Linked DNA regions of Macaca mulatta. The protein of the gene in region 1 purifies or fractionates together with the protein of each later gene. This does not show direct contact. Links are inferred from orthologs where the notes say so. Each region holds a gene or a part of one and is shown on either strand. Other genes may lie near its edges.

Region 1 (4,169 bases):
TTATTTTGACTGTTTTTATTTTTTCCTGTGGTGCATCTACCAAAGAGCATTTATTTACTTATGGCAGGGGAGGGGTATCAGGGAATCAAATCTAATTTAATTTCTTAACTTTTAATTTTTCAAAGTTGGGATTGGAAGAGAGTCTGAGAAAAAGCTCTCTTGGCTGCTTTAAAAGCTAAGGATTAGTAGCAATGTTCTGACCTGAAATTTAGGTCTTGTGATTTCTTTCCAAGAGATTTTTCACTGCATGAAAAACCTGTCTGCAATGGCCTTTTTTATTTAATTCAATCTTAATTGGTTGCGAACTGTAAAAATCTAAGGGATTGTTAAAAGGCCTCAAAGTGCACAAAAGTATTTTTAAGAGTAATATTAATAATCTGGAAGTGAAAAATGTACTTTGCTAAGTTACTTAACCTTTTACCTACGTTCTAGGTTCATTTTGCATTTCTTTTAAATTTTGAATGTTTCAAGGACGGAAAATTTCATCCCTAGAGCATATGCACTGTTTAGGGGACAGTTCAGCCATTTTCAAAAGCAGGCTAAGCTTTGTGTTCAGAGATGTATATTTTAGGAATTCTCCACGTGGCTTAATTACGATCATGCCTTGATTGTCAGCAGAGGTAAGCCAGGCTTCATCTTCTAATGAGACCCCTTGGAAAAGAGTCGGCTGCTGAGGCACCAACACACCATAGGTGAGGGAGGACCAGCTTTCTAAAACGGCCTTTCATAACCTGGAGGGAATCACTGAGCGCTATCAGGCCACCGCCTGACGGAGAAGCCAATGCCCAGAGGCTTTTTCTTTCGCAAGAGATGGAAATGGCCGGCTTGTGGAGATAGGTAGGGAAAAGGGTTCTTCGGGTCACCCATTTTTTTCTAGTCCCATTACTGACTCTTAGAGAATATTCACATGGTGCCAGGTAGCACCATGCCTATTATTATTCTCACTGAGGCAAAAGTCAGGGGCGGGTAACTGGTGTCCATTCTTTCGTTTGAGTGGGTTGGAGAAAGACGGGATGGCTGGAGGAATTTGTTTTGTTTTGCTTTGGAGCGGGCTTCCTCAGTTGTATCCCGCATCGGGCGGGCACAGCCCTGGGCTCTGGGAAGACGCCGCTGGGCAGCCGCAGTGGCCGTTGCATCAGTGGGTTTTGGGGCGGGGAAGTGCGGAGCTCAGCCGGCTCTCCTGGCTACCCCTCCGCGCCCCGCCGCCGCCCACAGCTTACCCTTCTCCCCTGCAGCCTGTAGGCGCCCGCAACACGGGCGGGCCGGGCACGTGGGCGCCTCCGTCACACCCTCACACATACACACACACGCGCGCGCGCACACACATACGCATGCACACGCGCACCCGCACCCGCGCGCCTGTATCCCGTGCTGTTTCCCTGGCAGACACACAGGCGCTCACGAGTCTCTCCTTGCCAGCCTGCAGGGCAGCAACCCCCAAAACCCAGCTCCTGGTCCCATCCTAGACAAGAAGCTGCTTCTCTGAAAACAGCTCCTCTGCGGCCTCCGTCACAGCCACCTGGACCCTACCCTTTCGCGACTGCTGCTGCTCCTGCCGGGACGTGGAAGCAGCAAAAGGCGCTTGGTCAAGACACACTGACGGTAATGGCAAGCGCCTACGCTAAGGGCACAACTGGGGATGAGGTGGGGCTCGCCATTAGCCACCCAGGAGCCTGGGCACCAGCACAGGGAGCGAATTGGCAGACGGATGCCGGGAAGGACTCGCTGCGTCTTGGGGTGGGAGGAGGGAGGGCAGCTCAAAAGCCCTGGGAGGGAGAAGCTGGGCTGGGCGGGCAACCTTCTAACTCTGCACCTCTGCACAATCAGGGTGGGGGGCGACAGGCTGCACATGTAAGGGGAAGCACATGGGTTGAAACGTGCCGCCATCCTTCCTTCCCGTCGTGGAAATTGCCCACAGCATCCCCAGAGACCTACTTGTTTCCAAGTCAAGTCGGGGTTGGTTGAAGGGTGGGGTCCAACACGGGGAAGTCCAAGAGGAAAGTTGGGAGGGTCGGGGCAGAGAGAGGCGCGAGGTGAATTGGAAGCTAAACCTCGTGCAGGTGGGCGATGGGGCGGGGAGAGCAGAGAGCTTTATTCCTCGTTCGCTTCCGTTCGCTTTTGCAAAGGCTGAAGGCGACTACCGAGGACAGAGTGTTTTCACGTGACCACAGTTCCCTTTTGCTTGAGGTATCCTGTGATAAATGGCCCGAAAGGGGGCCTTTCGCCGTGCGAAAGGCACGTGGCTGCTGGAGAAGTCACGGCTCCTGTGTTTCTGCGCACCTGGAATTTGAGAGTGTGGCGGTGAGGGTGGTGCTGCTGGGATTGTAAGAAGATGGGAATCAGTTAGAAACCCAGATCGTTTCTACCTTTCTTTCACTAGGCTGTTCTGTGTGTGACTGGGAAGAAGACGGTATTGAGTACAGGGAAAATCTTGCACTCTAACGTAGCGCACCAGCGTGATACATAAGAATGAATCAAGACGCCCGAGGCGTTCGGGGGCCGGCATGACCCACCCAGTGGCACAGGCTGCGGGAGCGGGAATTATTTTCCCTGAGCTGAGAAGCAGCATTTGATATGCATTTGAGGAAAGCAAAGCCCCGAGGCTCGCGCTCTCCATCCTCCCGCTTTCCCTTTCCATCCTCCCGCTTTCCCTTTCCATCCTCCTCCCTAGCTGGGAAAGGCTGGAGTAAGACGGGGCGGGGTCCGGACTCCGGCGCAGTGACGTAAGCAATGTTTGGGTGCTTATGCAAATGAGTCTGCGACCGTTTCTTCTGGTCTTGCCATTTTCCCCTCCAGATCTTAAAGGTAGACCCAATCTTAGTCTGCACCATCCTTGCAGTTCACTACTTAAGACGTATGGGAAAAATGAAGGATTTGCTTTACATGCTGCCTTTGGTCTCCTCATAGCCCATCCTGTAAAAGCTATTTTCTACCTGTCAATGCCTGATTGCTTTTCCGCGACACCAGCAACAAAGTGTTTGCTTTGAGGAATTATTCTCTGCAGACACAACCCTCTTCAAGCCCCTCACCTACCCAGTCTCATTTCTGCAAGAACAGTGCTGAAATACAGACCTACTTATGTCTTAGGCACCTAGTACTGGGCTTGACTTGTACGTTCTTAATAAATGCTTAATGATGGACTAAATTTTTTTTGAACAGTGTCAGGTTTTGAAGGGAAGGCGAGGGTTAAAGAAAGACACACACACACACACACACACACACACACACACACACACACACACACACAGAAAGAAGGCGGCTCAACAGCAAATTCAGGCTTTCTGTCCAGCATAAAACCTACAGAAGTGGGGGACCCGGCTAATGCCAGAGCCCGCTGCCACTTACAGGCTGGGTCAATTTAAAGGTATGGGCAGAAGGGATCTGAGCAGTATGGCTTGCTGCCCGGCGGGATATTGATAAGATGCTTCCATGAAGAGGCGGTTCTGGCCCTTGTTCCGGCGGAATGTCGTTCTGGTGTTCAGGGTGTTCCTTGGACCTTTGTCCAATAAGATATGATAGGGATGTCTCTTTAGTTGGGCCTTTGTCCCCCTTGTGGACAGTTGGTTAGACGGGATGTTTCTCACAGCTCGAACCCCTGTGAAATGTTTCGCTTTGACCAAGGTCTGCAAAACAGCAGGGAGCTTACAGCATGGTGCAGTTTGGACTAATAAACAGTATGTATTTTTTTCTTTCATATTAAATTCAAGATATTCGACCATCAAAATCTGGTGATTTTATTTTTGTGGATTGTTGCCTTTTCATGGAATCATCAATGATCCATGTGTATTTGTTGGAGTAAAACATATCCCAACAAATTTAAAACAGAATTTATTAACCATTTTTCTACAAATAAAGCTTTCTCAGTCTTTTTTTTTTTTTTAAGGATGACAGGAATGAATAGGATTTTTAAAGAAAGATAATACTTTACTGTTGATAAGCTTTTTTCTTTCTGATTGCACATTATATACTTGATTGAAAAATTATTTTATGATTCTAATATAGTTAACTCAAGATATAATATTTTAATGGAATAAATAAAAGCATTTTTATATGTTTCTAGGAGATAAGTACTCTATCACTGAATAAATATGAAATAATACAGAATCTTAAAACTGGATAACAGTTATGAGAGATGCCAATAATCAGATGAGATGCCTTCCTTACCACCT
Region 2 (4,207 bases), on another chromosome or scaffold:
GTAAGAGTTCAAAACAGAAATAGCTCCCAAGTAGAAACAATAAAACTTTAAAAGCATGAGCACTGAGAATGAAGAATCACATACAACTTCAAAGACTAGGCAAAGAAATAGCCACAAACGAGAGTCTAGGGCAATACAGGAGGCTAGCAGGTACAAGACAGTGTCCAGTGGGTTAGAGATGTATTCCCCAATTAGCTGAGGAAGAAGAGCAGATAAAGCCACATCCTAAGGGCAGAGAGAAAATAAGGTCACAAAAATGGGAACCAAACTTATAAGAAGGCACTGTGGAATGCTAGAATCTCAGTAATCATATTATTCTTTTAATAGCAACAAACATTCATATAGTCGATGCAGGCAGCCTTCTAAGGTGCTTGATACATTTTAACTTATTTGAACAACCCTGTGGAAATAGGAGTTATTGTTACTCCTATTTTATAGATAAAGAAAATGAGGCACAAGAGTACATGACCTCCTTAAGGTCACATTTTGAGAAACAGAGCTACAATTTTGGTACCAAATCTAAGCAAACCTGTATCCAGGATCTCTACTCCTAACCACTAGGCTGTACTCAGTTAAGACTCCTGTTTCTGGCCAGGCGTGGGGCTCACACCTGTAATCCCAGCACTTTGGGGGGCAAAGGCAGGAAGATTGCTTGAGGCCAGGAGATCAAGACCAGCCAGGCCAAGATAGCAAGACGCTGTCTCTTATGTAAAAAAAAAGTATATGTAACATATAAATATATATATTTTTGAAACAAGTAGATATAAATTATATACATACAATTTTTTTTTAAAAAAAGACTCCTGCTTCTAACAGTTAATTCAAACAAACCACTGATCTCTGACTCTCAGTTTCCCTCTCTGTAAAAGGGGGATAGCACTTGCCCTCCCTACCCTACCCAGCCTTTTGACACTTAATAAAACCCTAAGAGTAAGCTGCAGTTGTTCTCTACCAGGCCCACTTCCATCTAACATTTTTCTTTGCAGAATTTGGAAACAGGAGGGTAGGGAGACCTGAGGTCAAAGAATATATACCTTTTCAATGGCATTTCAAGTGCTGTTAGTTAGATAAAATTCCATGACTCCACTAAAAGAAAATACGATTTCTTTCTGCCATCCAGGAATTGGTCTCTTATCTTGGGCATAAAGAAGAACACGATGCCTTTCTGAACAGGATGCCTGAGTACACAAAAGGACCTCTGAAACCTGGGGCTGTAAAAACAAGCGGGTGAAGGGGAAACTGCACTGCATAATGGATATAAGCAAATCCTCTGATACAAAAAGTTGGTCGCATTGTTATTATAATCAGTAAAATAATAACGATGCTCAGGGAATGGAGTGATTTTTGCTTCCGACCAGAGGAACAATAGTGGTCCAGTGGTTTCAGCCCAAATCCCTCCAGGTCCGCAAAAGCCGCCGAGATGCTGACTTTCGCACTGCCGCGGGCAAGGAACAGAAATGCACGCACGCATGCACACGCGCGCACACACACCCCTGATCCGCGACCACTGACCTTGAGAGCTGGACCCCAGGGTTCTGAGCCCGCAGTGGCGTGGGGCTGGCTGCATCCCTCCCGGCACTCACCTCTAAAGTTTTCACCAGGATCTTCATGTAGATCTCGGAGATGCCCAGAGACACTCCGAAGACTGAAGGCAGAAGGATGAAGCCGAGAACCAGCGTCAGCCAGGTGGAAAGGATCTTCCCGGCCAGCTCTGCGCCCTCCATGACTCGGCGCACCCACTCGGGAGAAGTCCGCAGTGGAGGGCCGAGCGCCACAGCAGTCCCTGTCCCCAGGCAGTCCCGCGGGAGCTCCAGGAGCAGAGCGCCGAGCCCGGCACTCACCTCTGCGAGGGGAAGAGAGGAAGGAAAAAAACTTTCAGAATTACGGCAATATCCTTCCTTCCTCCCCGGGCTCCTCCTCGCCCCTGTCAGTTAACTCCTTCTCCGCCGGCGGCCCAGGTCTGGGCTGAAGCCACCGCGGCGTGCGCAGACCTGGGTAGCGCGAGCCAGTGGTTGGAGCTGCGGGTAAGCGGAGGGACACCGCAGCGCGGCAGAGCGCGCGAGCGCAGCCGGGAACGCGCCCCGCCCGGTGCCTGAGTTCCTCTGGGTGGTGATTGCGACAACTCAGCAGATGACTCACAGAGGCCCTCCCCGAGCCCGGTTCCCTGCGGGACCACCGCACTTTGGCACACCGGCAGGGCAGCGGGCGGAGCTCGCACCGGGCCGCGGGCTGTGCTGGAGGCTGGCTGCGCTCGGGCGTCCAGAGCCCTATTTCTGCGCGCTGCCCTCGCCCCACCTCCTCCGTCACCCAACGGGGGAGCTCCCTGGCAGAACTTAGCCCAGGAGCGCCGCAGCCTCCTGGGCGGTCTCAGTTTTTCCCTGCGCCCCGCCTCCCCCAGCACTCAGCAAAGGTCCTTTCAGGAGGAGAGTTTTCATCTGAAAAATGTTAATATTTTCTTCACCCGCAGAATGAACTGCTGACGTTTCTGGGACGCTTGAGGTCTTGTTTGTGTGGGTGTAAAACGAACTCTTGGGAAGGACTTCCAAGGACAGGAAAATGCAGAGCACACCAGGTAGCCGTGTACGCCGCTTCAGGCTCCCACACCTCCTTCCCCGCATGGCCTACAGCTGTGGGGCTCAATCTTGCTTATCCCGAGACTAGGAAGCTCTGTCCACGTGTCGCCTAACCCATTGAGCCGCCATCTCCCTAGCACTGAAACCTATCTGTCACTCCCTTCCTGGAGAAGATTCCAACCACACCCTCCCCTACCATTCAGCTAATACTCTCCGCGCTTAGAGGTAGCAGAAATGCCAGGCCGGCGCAAGCCTTCATTCACCAAGCTGACACGTGTCTCCTGGGTGTTCAGGCTCCGCGCTTCTACCGTGCCAGCCCTTATCAGAGCAACGAAGGGCAAAACCCTGTATGTTATTTACTCCATTGCAGTTCTCTTAGAGACCTGAACTATTTTAAGGAATGAGCAGAAGGGATTTTGAGAAGGGATTTTCCAGATTGCCGCTGAATTCGACCAAAATATCTTACAGGTACTTTTCAGGTGTTGTTTCAAGCTGGAAAAACTGGGAGGGCCAGCAAACTGAATTGAAACAGCGTTGATAGCAAATATTGCAGAGAAAATGGTCCCTGCCCAGGGTGTGGAGGAAGTGGGGAGGCAAGAAAGTGAGAAGACCCTCTGTAAATAATGTAGATGTCTGCCTTATGTACTTACTGCCAGGTAACTGTCACAAGCCCCCTCCCGCACTAAGAACGGAAAAAATTATAAGTTGATGATTAAAACCAGGTTATGGACCGGGCGCGGTGGATCACGCCTGTAATCCCAGCACTCTGGGAGGCGAGGTGGGCAGATCACCTGAGGTCAGGAGTTCAAGACCAGCCTGGCCAACATGGCGAAACCCCCATCTCTAGTAAAAATACAAAAAAAATTAGCCCCGCGTGGTGTCGCACGCCTGTAGTCCCAGCTACTCAAGAGGATGAGGCAGGAGAATCACTTGAACCTGGGAGGCGGAGGTTGCAGTGAGCCAAAATCGTGCCACTGCACTCCAGCCTAGGAGACAGAGCGAGACTCCGTCTCTTTTTTTTTTTTTTTTTTTTTTTGTTTGAGACGGAGTCTCGCTCTGTAGCCCAGGCTGGAGTGCAGTGGCCGGATCTCAGCTCACTGCAAGCTCCGCCTCCCGGGTTTACGCCATTCTCCTGCCTCAGCCTCCCGAGTAGCTGGGACTACAGGCGCCCGCCACCTCGCCCGGCTAGTTTTTTGTATTTTTTTTAGTAGATACTGGGTTTCACCGTGTTGGCCAGGATGGTCTCGATCTCCTGACCTCGTGATCCGCCCGTCTCGGCCTCCCAAAGTGCTGGGATTACAGGCTTGAGCCACCGCGCCTGGTCGACTCCGTCTCAAAAAACAAAAACGAAACAAAGAAACAGATTATGAATGAAGACGTGTTAGGAGCTTGGTTTCTCAAAATTAAACCTCTGTATGGGTTGGCTAGTTTAGAAAAACACGGAAAACACAACTACCGAAAGCTGCCCAAAGTCCTTGCTTCCAAAAACTATATATATTTAGTGCAAAACTCCAAAGATTATATTGGCATATTTAATACCATATGTTCAGGCAAAACTCTTATTTTCCTTTTATTCCTCAAACCAAGATGACTAAGGAAGGCTGAATCCTTGTACCAAAGTTTACCCTACAACG
Region 3 (4,268 bases), on another chromosome or scaffold:
TCTCAGTGGCTTATAACAGCAAAAGTTGGTATTTCACTCATGTGAAATCTCAGATGTGAGCTGCTTCACATCCCCTTTTTCTTCTAGGACCAAGGCTGAAAGAGCAGCCCTTCTGACACAGACTATTCTCATGAAAGGAAACATTTCTCTGGTTGAAATACGTAATAACTCTTAATGCTTCTGCTCAGAAAGACCTCCTGCTCCTATTTCACTGGCCAAAAGAAGATCATACGATCAAGCCTGACATCAGTGAGGATGGAAAGAATGCTCCTCCTACAGGACGCGCTGCAGTTACATGGCAACAGGCGATGATGTATAATCCTTAACTGGAAAAGCAACTTAATAGTTAGGAACAACAATACCACCTACCAGAGAATAATAGTACCTTCCTTATGAATGTGAGATTAAAATGAGGTGAGGCACATGCAATGCTTAACACAGTATTCTACACTTAATAAAAAGTTTGATAAATGTTAGATGCCATTATTATGATTATTACCTCCTGGTGCTGAAAAATTTTCTCTTCACTGTACTGGGCTAAACCTCACCTGAGAGGAAGAAAAGCAGCAGCTGTAATTACTTCCAATATTTAATTTGGAGACAATAAAACTTTGAGTCTACGGGGCACAGGCTTTGGAGTAATGTGGACTCCTTATTAGGACAGATGATCTTAGACAAATTATTTAAACTGTTTGAGCCTTACTTTCCTCAACTCAAAGATGTGAGACTTGGAACTGTATTGTAGGCTTGTCATTAGGGCCAAATTAGCCCAATCCTGTACACATAGTGGGTGCTGAGTCTTTGAACTATTGAATGTGGATTTTAGACTTATTTCAGATAGTCAATGAACTGCATGCATAACATAACCACAGTATTACCTTTTCTATCCTTTGGGTCTCAGCTCAAATATCATCTCCTCAGAGAGACCTTCCCTGACCACCTGATTTAAAGTACCTCCCGTGCTTCCAGTCACTTTTCCCCGTTTTCTTGTCGTTACAGCTCTGGTAACGCCCTGAAATTGTCTTGTCCATTCACTGTCATGTAGTATCTGTCTCTGCCACTAGAAAGTAAGCGCCATGCAATCCGGATCATGGTTTCTTATTTCCACCTTCTGCCGTGGGCCTCTGGCATTTCTCTTCTGTAAAACTTTCGGGAGATGGTGAGTAAAGGGAGAACTCACGTGACCCGCAACGAGGCCTAGCCTTTTGTGGGTGTAGCCTTTCACGTTGCGCCGGCCGCGTGCGGGCCGTCCACCGCGGGAGGACAGCTACGTCACACGCACGCAGGCCCTGCGCCGCGCCTCGTCTCGCCACGGGCGGAAAGGGGCGTGGCCATGCGTAAGGACCCCGTAGCCACCGGCGCCACCGCCTGAATCGCCTGCAGGTGGCTGTTCTCGGCTCCCTGCCGTGCAGGCATCTCGAAAGCCACTCTGTTTTGGGGTCCTCGCGCCCCTTCCACGTCTCCCGGAAGCGGTAGCACGGCCGCGGCAGGTCCGGGAGAAGGTTTAGTCTGCTCGGGCCCCCTCCGGGCCAGCTGCCGAGGGGGCGCGGCCCAGGACGGCGACTAGGCCGTGGTGCAACCTCTCCGGAGTCCTCAGGTGAGGCGGAGGCGAGGGCCCACTGGACAAGACGGGAGTGTTAACGGTCCTAGGAGCGGGGGCGCAGTCCTTTCAGCGGAGACCCTGGTCTCTCGGTTTTCTTTCGGGTGGCGCTCGTCTTCGCTGTGTTAGGGGCGGAGGAGGGTAGCTGGAGAGACCCCATGGGCTTCAGCCGACGTTGTTTACTGCCCTCTGTATTCTTTCTTCCTGACCTTTGCCTGACCTGGCAGTTCTTCCCGCACGGAACGAGATGGGTGGGGAGCGGAGTGGGGGGTCTCTGCTCGCTTACCTGAGATCCACAGACTGAAGACCCCAGGGCACTGCCGACTGGGCCTACACGACTGACCTGCAGCCTCCCTCCCTCTGTGCTGACGCCTGTCCTTCGAAGCAGGCCCTGCCACCGCCCTCTGCGGATCCATCCCCATCCCACGCACTCTCTCTGCCCTTGGGCAGTGCCTGGGGAATTGAAGGGTGCCTCTGAAGTCCTTTGTGTCTTTGAGATGTTTGTCAATGGAGCAAGTGCCCAGGGCCCATCTAAGTATTTAATTGGGTAATCAACATTAATTGCAACATTAGTAGCAATTTAATGGTGTGTTTTAAAGCCCAATTAATTTTAAAATGAGAGGCAAGATAGAAAGAATTGAGTGTGTTTTGATTTTTTTATTACTTTTTTTGTAGAGACAGGGTCTTGCCACGTTGCCCAGGCTGGTCTCAAACTCTTGGCCTCAAGTGGTCCTCCCCGCTTGGCGTCCCAGTGTGTTGGGATTACAGGGTGAGCCACAGTGCCTGGCCTGTATGGTGTTCTGTATGTTACAGAGCATTTCGTCTCCATTTTCATTTGGTTTTTTTATAAACTCCGAAAGACATAGGCATGTAATAGTCACATGTGTAAAAAACAGGTTTAAAGGATGAGTTTCTTCTGGAGGTTTTTTAGGTTTTGAGCTATATGGTATAGGGAGGCAAAGATTAAAAGGTGGGTTTGGCACTAGGGTGACTTCGACTTGAGTATCTGAGCTGCTATCTAAACTCTGGGATCTTTCTCAACCCTTTCCACATTTGCTTTTAAAAAAGGATATTGCTGTTTACCTCATAATGTGACTGTGAAAGTTACATATGATGAAAGATACATGTGTACTTGTGTACAGCATCTGTCATGAAAAAATTCCACTCAGCAGTATTTATGAGTGCCTACTGTGTGCTAGACTCTGAGAATTCATTGGTGAGCGAAACAGACATAATCTGTATCCAACCACTGCCCCCCTTTCCCCAAGAACAAGAGACATGTTTAAAAAAAAAAACGTAATTATAACACATGAAGGGCTGTGGGGCAAAAGAATAGGATATGTACAGATAGTGATTGACCTAACTTAGATGGAAAGGAGAACTCTGAAGCAGATGACATTTGAGTAAACACCAAGAACAAGAAAGTTAACCATGAAAGAGTTCTTTGCAAAAGGAACAACGTGCACATTCTAGAAATGGTTGTGGACTTTATTATAGAACCCTTCTATATCTGTATCTTCATCATTACTTTGATGTATGGTGTCACACAGTAAGTACTCAAATATATGTATGGAATGAGTGGTTATGCAGTTTTGGTTTTTATTCTGAACTTAATGTGCACGTGGTAGGTATTGAGTATTTGGATTATTGAGCATGTACTTTAGACAAATTATATGCACACCTAAATTAGATGTAATAGTGCCACAGTTTAACATTAAGATGGCTTTTGTATTTAATGGAAAAGTTTTTTTAAGTTTTAGCACTTTAAAACAAACTTCAGTGAATTTTATTTTTATTTGGTTGTACTGGAATTTTGCCATAGTGGTTAGTTGCTAATTTGCTGCTGTAGCAAAGTACCACAGACTGATTGGCTGAGCCAACAGAAATTTATTTTCTCTCGGTTCTGAAGGCTTGAAGTCCAAAATGAAGGTATTGGCAGAGTTGGTTTCTTCTGAGGCCTGCTTCTTTTGCTTGCAGATGTCTGTCTTCTCCCTGTGTCCTTTCCGTATGTCTGTCTGTTGAAATTTCCTCCACTTAGAAGGACATGCCAGTTATATTTGATTAGGGCCCACCCTAATGACTCATTTTAATTATCCCTTTAGAGACCCTATCTCCAAAAACAGTCACATTCTGAGGTCTGGGGGTTAGGACTCAAATAAAGGAATTTGGAGGGATGCAGTTCAGCCCATAACAGATGCTTTTGCTATATTAAGATTTGCCCTTCATTGAAATAGTAATAATAAACACAGTAGTGGTAGTTGTAATAAGGATAATAGCAGCCACTAAAATGAGTGCTTATTATGTGCCAAGCATTTTGCAAAGTGTCTTTTATATATTATTTCATCATAACACCATCCTATAAGGTAAGTACACTTTCCCCCCCCGTTTTCTACATAAGATTTCTCAGCCTCGTTTAAGTAGTTTGCTCAAGGTTACCTAGCTAGTAAAAGGTAGGGTTAGGATTTCAACCCAGGACTACCTGACTCCAGCGTCTGGTGTTAACCATTTTTCATACTCTGCCATTATGCCACGATGATCATTTTATGTCCTTTTTACAGGTTTGCCAATAGGATTATCCTGCTGCCATCATGTCTTGGTTTGTTGATCTTGCTGGAAAGGCAGAAGATCTTTTAAACCGGGTTGATCAAGGGGCTGCAACAGCTCTCAG
Region 4 (4,034 bases), on another chromosome or scaffold:
TTGCACTCCAGCCTGGGTGATAGAGAGACTCTGTCTCAAAAAATAAATAAATAAAATCAATAACTAAAAAACAAAGATCCTGTAAGTGGGCTGGGTGTGCTGGCTCACACATGTCATCCCAGCACTTTGGGAGACCGAGGGAGGAGGATCACTTGCGCCTAGGGGTTCAAGACCAGCTCGGACAACAAACTGAAACCCTGTCTCTATAAAAATCAAAGAAAAAAAAATAGCCGATTGTGGCAGCCGGCACCTGTGATCCCAGCTGCATGAGAGACTGAGGCAGGAGGATCACTTGAGCCTGGGAGGTGGAGGCTATAGTGAGTACTACACAAAAGAAATTGCTGATCCTTCAGCAGCCATTTCCCACTCCAGCAACTCCCCGCCCCTGGCAACCACTCATCTACTTTCTGTCTCTATGGATTGGCTTCTTCTGGATATTTCACATGCACGGAATCATGCAATGTGTGGTCTTTCGTGTGGGGCTTCTTTCTCTAAGTATTACATCCTCAAGGGTTATCTCGCTGTAGCATGAGCGAAGTGTGACGATAGATTGATCGATGAAGGTTACGTTCATTCATTCCACACGTATTTACTGAGCACCTACTGTGTGCCAGTCTGGGGGGTCCAGTCAGGAATAGAACTGACAGTAAACCCTGCCCTGGAGGGTTTCTGGTAGGAAGGAGAGACAATAAACCGAATAAACCAGTACATTCTTTGGAATATCAGACGCTGATAAGAGCTCAAGTGAAGCGTGGGGTTGGAAGTTGGGGTGGAGAGAAAGGGGGGATGTGACTTTAAGCAGAGTGGTCAGCAAAGGCCTCCCCGCAGGGTGGCCACAGGGACGCTCCAGCTCAGCCCGGAAGGAGGCGAGAGGCGCGGTGCCCGTCCCGGCGACTCCGGACCAGCAAGGAGGTCCCAGCGCACGCGTCAGTGCCTCGAGGCCCGGGACCCTGCGTGTCCCGTCCCCGCCGTGGCCCTGCGTCCGTAACGGTGGGTGGCACCAGGGCGCATTTCGCGCGGCGGGGCTGCGGCCTGCCCTTGAAGGGACGGAATCGGGCGTCGTGGTGGGGTAGACACCGGGGATCCCCGGAGCGCGGACGAGGAGGGCGTCCACCCCGCGAGCTCACCCCACGGCCCCCGCGCCCCGCCCTCGGCCGCAGGCCCCGCCCCGCGCCGCCCGGCCCCGCCTCCCCGCGGCCGCCGCCATTGGCCACGCGCGCCGCCTCCGCCCTCGGCCTCGCACTTCCTGGCGGAGCCATGGCTGCGCAGCGGGCCGGCCGGGGGGCTCCTGAACCAGGGCCCCGCAGCCCCGACCGCCCGGCCCCGCCGCCGGGGCTGTCCCCGCCGCGATCGTAGCGCGTCCTGCCAGGTGGGCCTACGCGCGCGCCCACCCTTCAGCCCGGGACCGCCGGGAAGCCGCGCCCGCCAGGGGCGGGGGGCGGGCGGAGATCGGAAGGGTCCCCGGCCCCAGCGAGCCGCGAGCCCCCTGCGCCCCTTGGTGCCCGGGGCGGGCGGGTGGGCGAGTGGGGCGGCGCGACTGGGGGAAGAGGCCAGGGGAGGGGCCGCCGCCCCCGCAGGTGACACAGGTGCGGCCTGTGCGTTCCGCCCCGCGCGTGGCAGGTGAGTGGCCCCCGCCCCGGGCGGTCCCGACTCCGCCTCCGCCTCCTCGCCTCCGGCTGGAGCCTGCCTGGGCGGCCGTTGAGCTGAGTTCCGCCTGGGCTGCGGGGTCCGAGTGAACGACAGCGGCGTCCCCGGAGACCCCGCGGGCGAGCCGGTGTCAGCAGCGTCGCTTTCTCCAACGCTGAGGTCGGGAGGGAGCTTGGGAAGGAGGCTCCCTGGGAGCCCCCCCGTCCGGACGGGGCCTGCGTTCCCATGTTTACTGGAAGACCTTTTCCAGTGACTTGGGATTGTCACTGTGTGTGTGGGTGGCCTTGACCCTTCACCTGCTTCCAAAAAGCGTCGGAGGCCGCTGACATCCAACACGCGTGGAAGTCAGCCCGCACCCCCACGCACTTGCAGGAGACAGCAGGGAGCCTCCGGCCCCGGGAACTCTCTAGGTATCTTGGCCTAGAAAAGAAAGCGTTGAGCGTTAGAGGGCCTGGCTGAGCCCGGGCAGGCTGCCTGGGGCGGTGGAGAGAGAGGCACCTGCTGCTTGCTGCTCTGTGACCTTGGGCAACCCCCCCCCGAGGCACCCGAGCGCCGGGTCTCACTGTGGGAACGACGGTGGCACCTGTCTCAAAGGGTGAAGGTGGAATGAAGTTGGGTCCGCGGTGGGCACTGCCCGAAAGCTGGGTTTCTTCTCTTCCCTCTCTGTGCTCTCCAGCATCCTAGGGGTAGTCAGGAGGGCCGGGAATGGGAACAGCTTGTCGTTGTCACAAAGTTTCTAGTTTGTCAAGAGGAATCTCGTTGTCCCTTCTCTCCCTAGGGGAGTTGCACAGGACGGACTGTGCCCGAATTCATTCCTTCCATGGGAACACTGGAGTGGCCTCCCTGTGTCCCCAATTATCTAAGAACAGTGCTGACTTCTTGTCACATTGTTCTTTATTAGTAAAGACAGTGTGTTCAATAGGTAACAAACTCTTCTCCTGAACTCAAATAGCAGGGGGGAAAATCCTCTTTAAAACCTTAGTCTCAGTGTGTGACTTGTACTAATATTAGTTGGCCAAGTCCCTTCTCTGTGTTCCCCTCCATCCTTGAAGCACTTGACCGCCCCCCCACACCCTCCCCCACCCCCGCTCCCGCCACACCAAAGCCTAACTCTGCCTGTAGTGATCCCCCCTCCAAGAGCCAGGCAGTGCAGCCTAAGAGTTAAGAGCATGGACTTTTCCCTGACCTGGAATCCCAATTCTGCCAGTTCCCAGCTGTGTGACACGGGGCAGGTTATTTCACCTCACTGCTGTCAGCATCCTCCAGTCACAGTGCTGGCCTCATGGGGTTGCAATGGGGACTAAGTGAGTGAAGCCACAGAGAAGCACTTGGGGACAGTGTGTCTAGAATGTACTGTGTACATGGTAGTCATCACTGTACCACATCCTCACCTGTATCATATTTTCAAAGTGTGATGCTCTCGAACCCCGGGCCTCATTCAGCATCGTGTCATGGTGATGGATCCAGGTTTTGAAGCTGGACAGACCCAGGTGTGATTCTCAGCCACTTACTAGCTTTGTGACCATGAGATCAGTATCCTCATGTGTGAAATGGGATAAGCGATATCAGCCTGGCCAAGTGTAATCTTTGTGGGGGTTAAATGAGATGGCACATGTAAGTCCCTTAGTTTGGTTCTAGGACTGTAGTCTGGGCTCCGAAATTATAACTTATCATTATAACCTCGGTGTAGCCAAAAGGTAATTATTTGTAGGAAGTGAACTAAATGACATGATGTCAGATTTTAGATGATAAAGGAATGCAAGTTAAATGTTCTGTCCAATTCTAACAACCCGATGAGCTCTCAACTCAGTGTAAAAGAGTTCTTTGTAGTGCACGGTCCTCCCTCCCTCCTTCCTCCGTGTGACTGTTTTCACTGTCGTCCTTGGTATCTGCTAGCAGAGCCTGAAATTAATGAATGAGCTAGAGTTATGACTGCATGCTCAGAAATCCTGTTCTTCTCCTAGGGCTGAGATCTCTGTAATGATGGAGGGAAGCAGGCAGACGCGAGTGTCTCGGCCATACAAGATCAGCGAATCATCCAAGGTCTGTGAATGTTCACTCACCACCTGTGCAAATTGCCTAAGAAGTGTGATCCTTTTTCTGATTCACTCATTTCTAATCACAGACTGATTTTTTTGTCATTGGTGTTGTCAATCTCCTTAATGACAAGTAAAGGTGGAAATGGGCAAGGAGCGGAAATTGTCATAAAATCAGAGAGTGGGAAGTGTGAGGGATGTTAGAGACACTATGGCCAGACGTCTTCGTTTTTCAGTGTGACATCCCAGAGCTTTCTCTTTGTGACAACTTGACCCATTCATCAACCCAAGGAGGTGGATGGGACAGGAAGAAAACTGGGTTGGGGCTCAAAAACTCCAAGGATAGGTGCA

What was found.
Region 2: the proteins of SLC6A15 (region 1) and GPAT3 purify together in Homo sapiens (co-immunoprecipitation; 3 studies listed by BioGRID and IntAct, counting the BioPlex papers as one, with this or other methods). This does not show direct contact. The link is inferred for Macaca mulatta from reciprocal best matches to the Homo sapiens genes SLC6A15 and GPAT3.
Region 3: the proteins of SLC6A15 (region 1) and GOLGA5 purify together in Homo sapiens (co-immunoprecipitation; 3 studies listed by BioGRID and IntAct, counting the BioPlex papers as one, with this or other methods). This does not show direct contact. The link is inferred for Macaca mulatta from reciprocal best matches to the Homo sapiens genes SLC6A15 and GOLGA5.
Region 4: the proteins of SLC6A15 (region 1) and KLHL36 purify together in Homo sapiens (co-immunoprecipitation; 3 studies listed by BioGRID and IntAct, counting the BioPlex papers as one, with this or other methods). This does not show direct contact. The link is inferred for Macaca mulatta from reciprocal best matches to the Homo sapiens genes SLC6A15 and KLHL36.

What each region holds. Positions count from the first base shown.
Region 1 is NC_133416.1:92,090,426-92,094,594, reverse strand, and holds the start of SLC6A15 (sodium-dependent neutral amino acid transporter B(0)AT2), read left to right. Parts: upstream 1-1,361; 5' UTR 1,362-1,602; intron 1,603-4,169.
Region 2 is NC_133410.1:50,209,354-50,213,560, forward strand, and holds the start of GPAT3 (glycerol-3-phosphate acyltransferase 3), read right to left. Parts: upstream 2,802-4,207; 5' UTR 2,619-2,801; coding exon 2,462-2,618; intron 2,405-2,461; exon of another isoform or gene 1,992-2,404; intron 1,844-1,991; coding exon 1,584-1,843; intron 1-1,583. UniProt on the Homo sapiens protein: Converts glycerol-3-phosphate to 1-acyl-sn-glycerol-3-phosphate (lysophosphatidic acid or LPA) by incorporating an acyl moiety at the sn-1 position of the glycerol backbone.
Region 3 is NC_133412.1:166,047,673-166,051,940, forward strand, and holds the start of GOLGA5 (golgin subfamily A member 5), read left to right. Parts: upstream 1-1,467; 5' UTR 1,468-1,608; intron 1,609-4,158; 5' UTR 4,159-4,188; coding exon 4,189-4,268. UniProt on the Homo sapiens protein: Involved in maintaining Golgi structure. Stimulates the formation of Golgi stacks and ribbons. Involved in intra-Golgi retrograde transport.
Region 4 is NC_133425.1:80,009,913-80,013,946, forward strand, and holds the start of KLHL36 (kelch-like protein 36), read left to right. Parts: upstream 1-1,233; 5' UTR 1,234-1,369; intron 1,370-1,555; exon of another isoform or gene 1,556-1,620; intron 1,621-3,611; 5' UTR 3,612-3,627; coding exon 3,628-3,690; exon of another isoform or gene 3,691-3,698; coding exon of another isoform or gene 3,699-3,715; intron 3,716-4,034.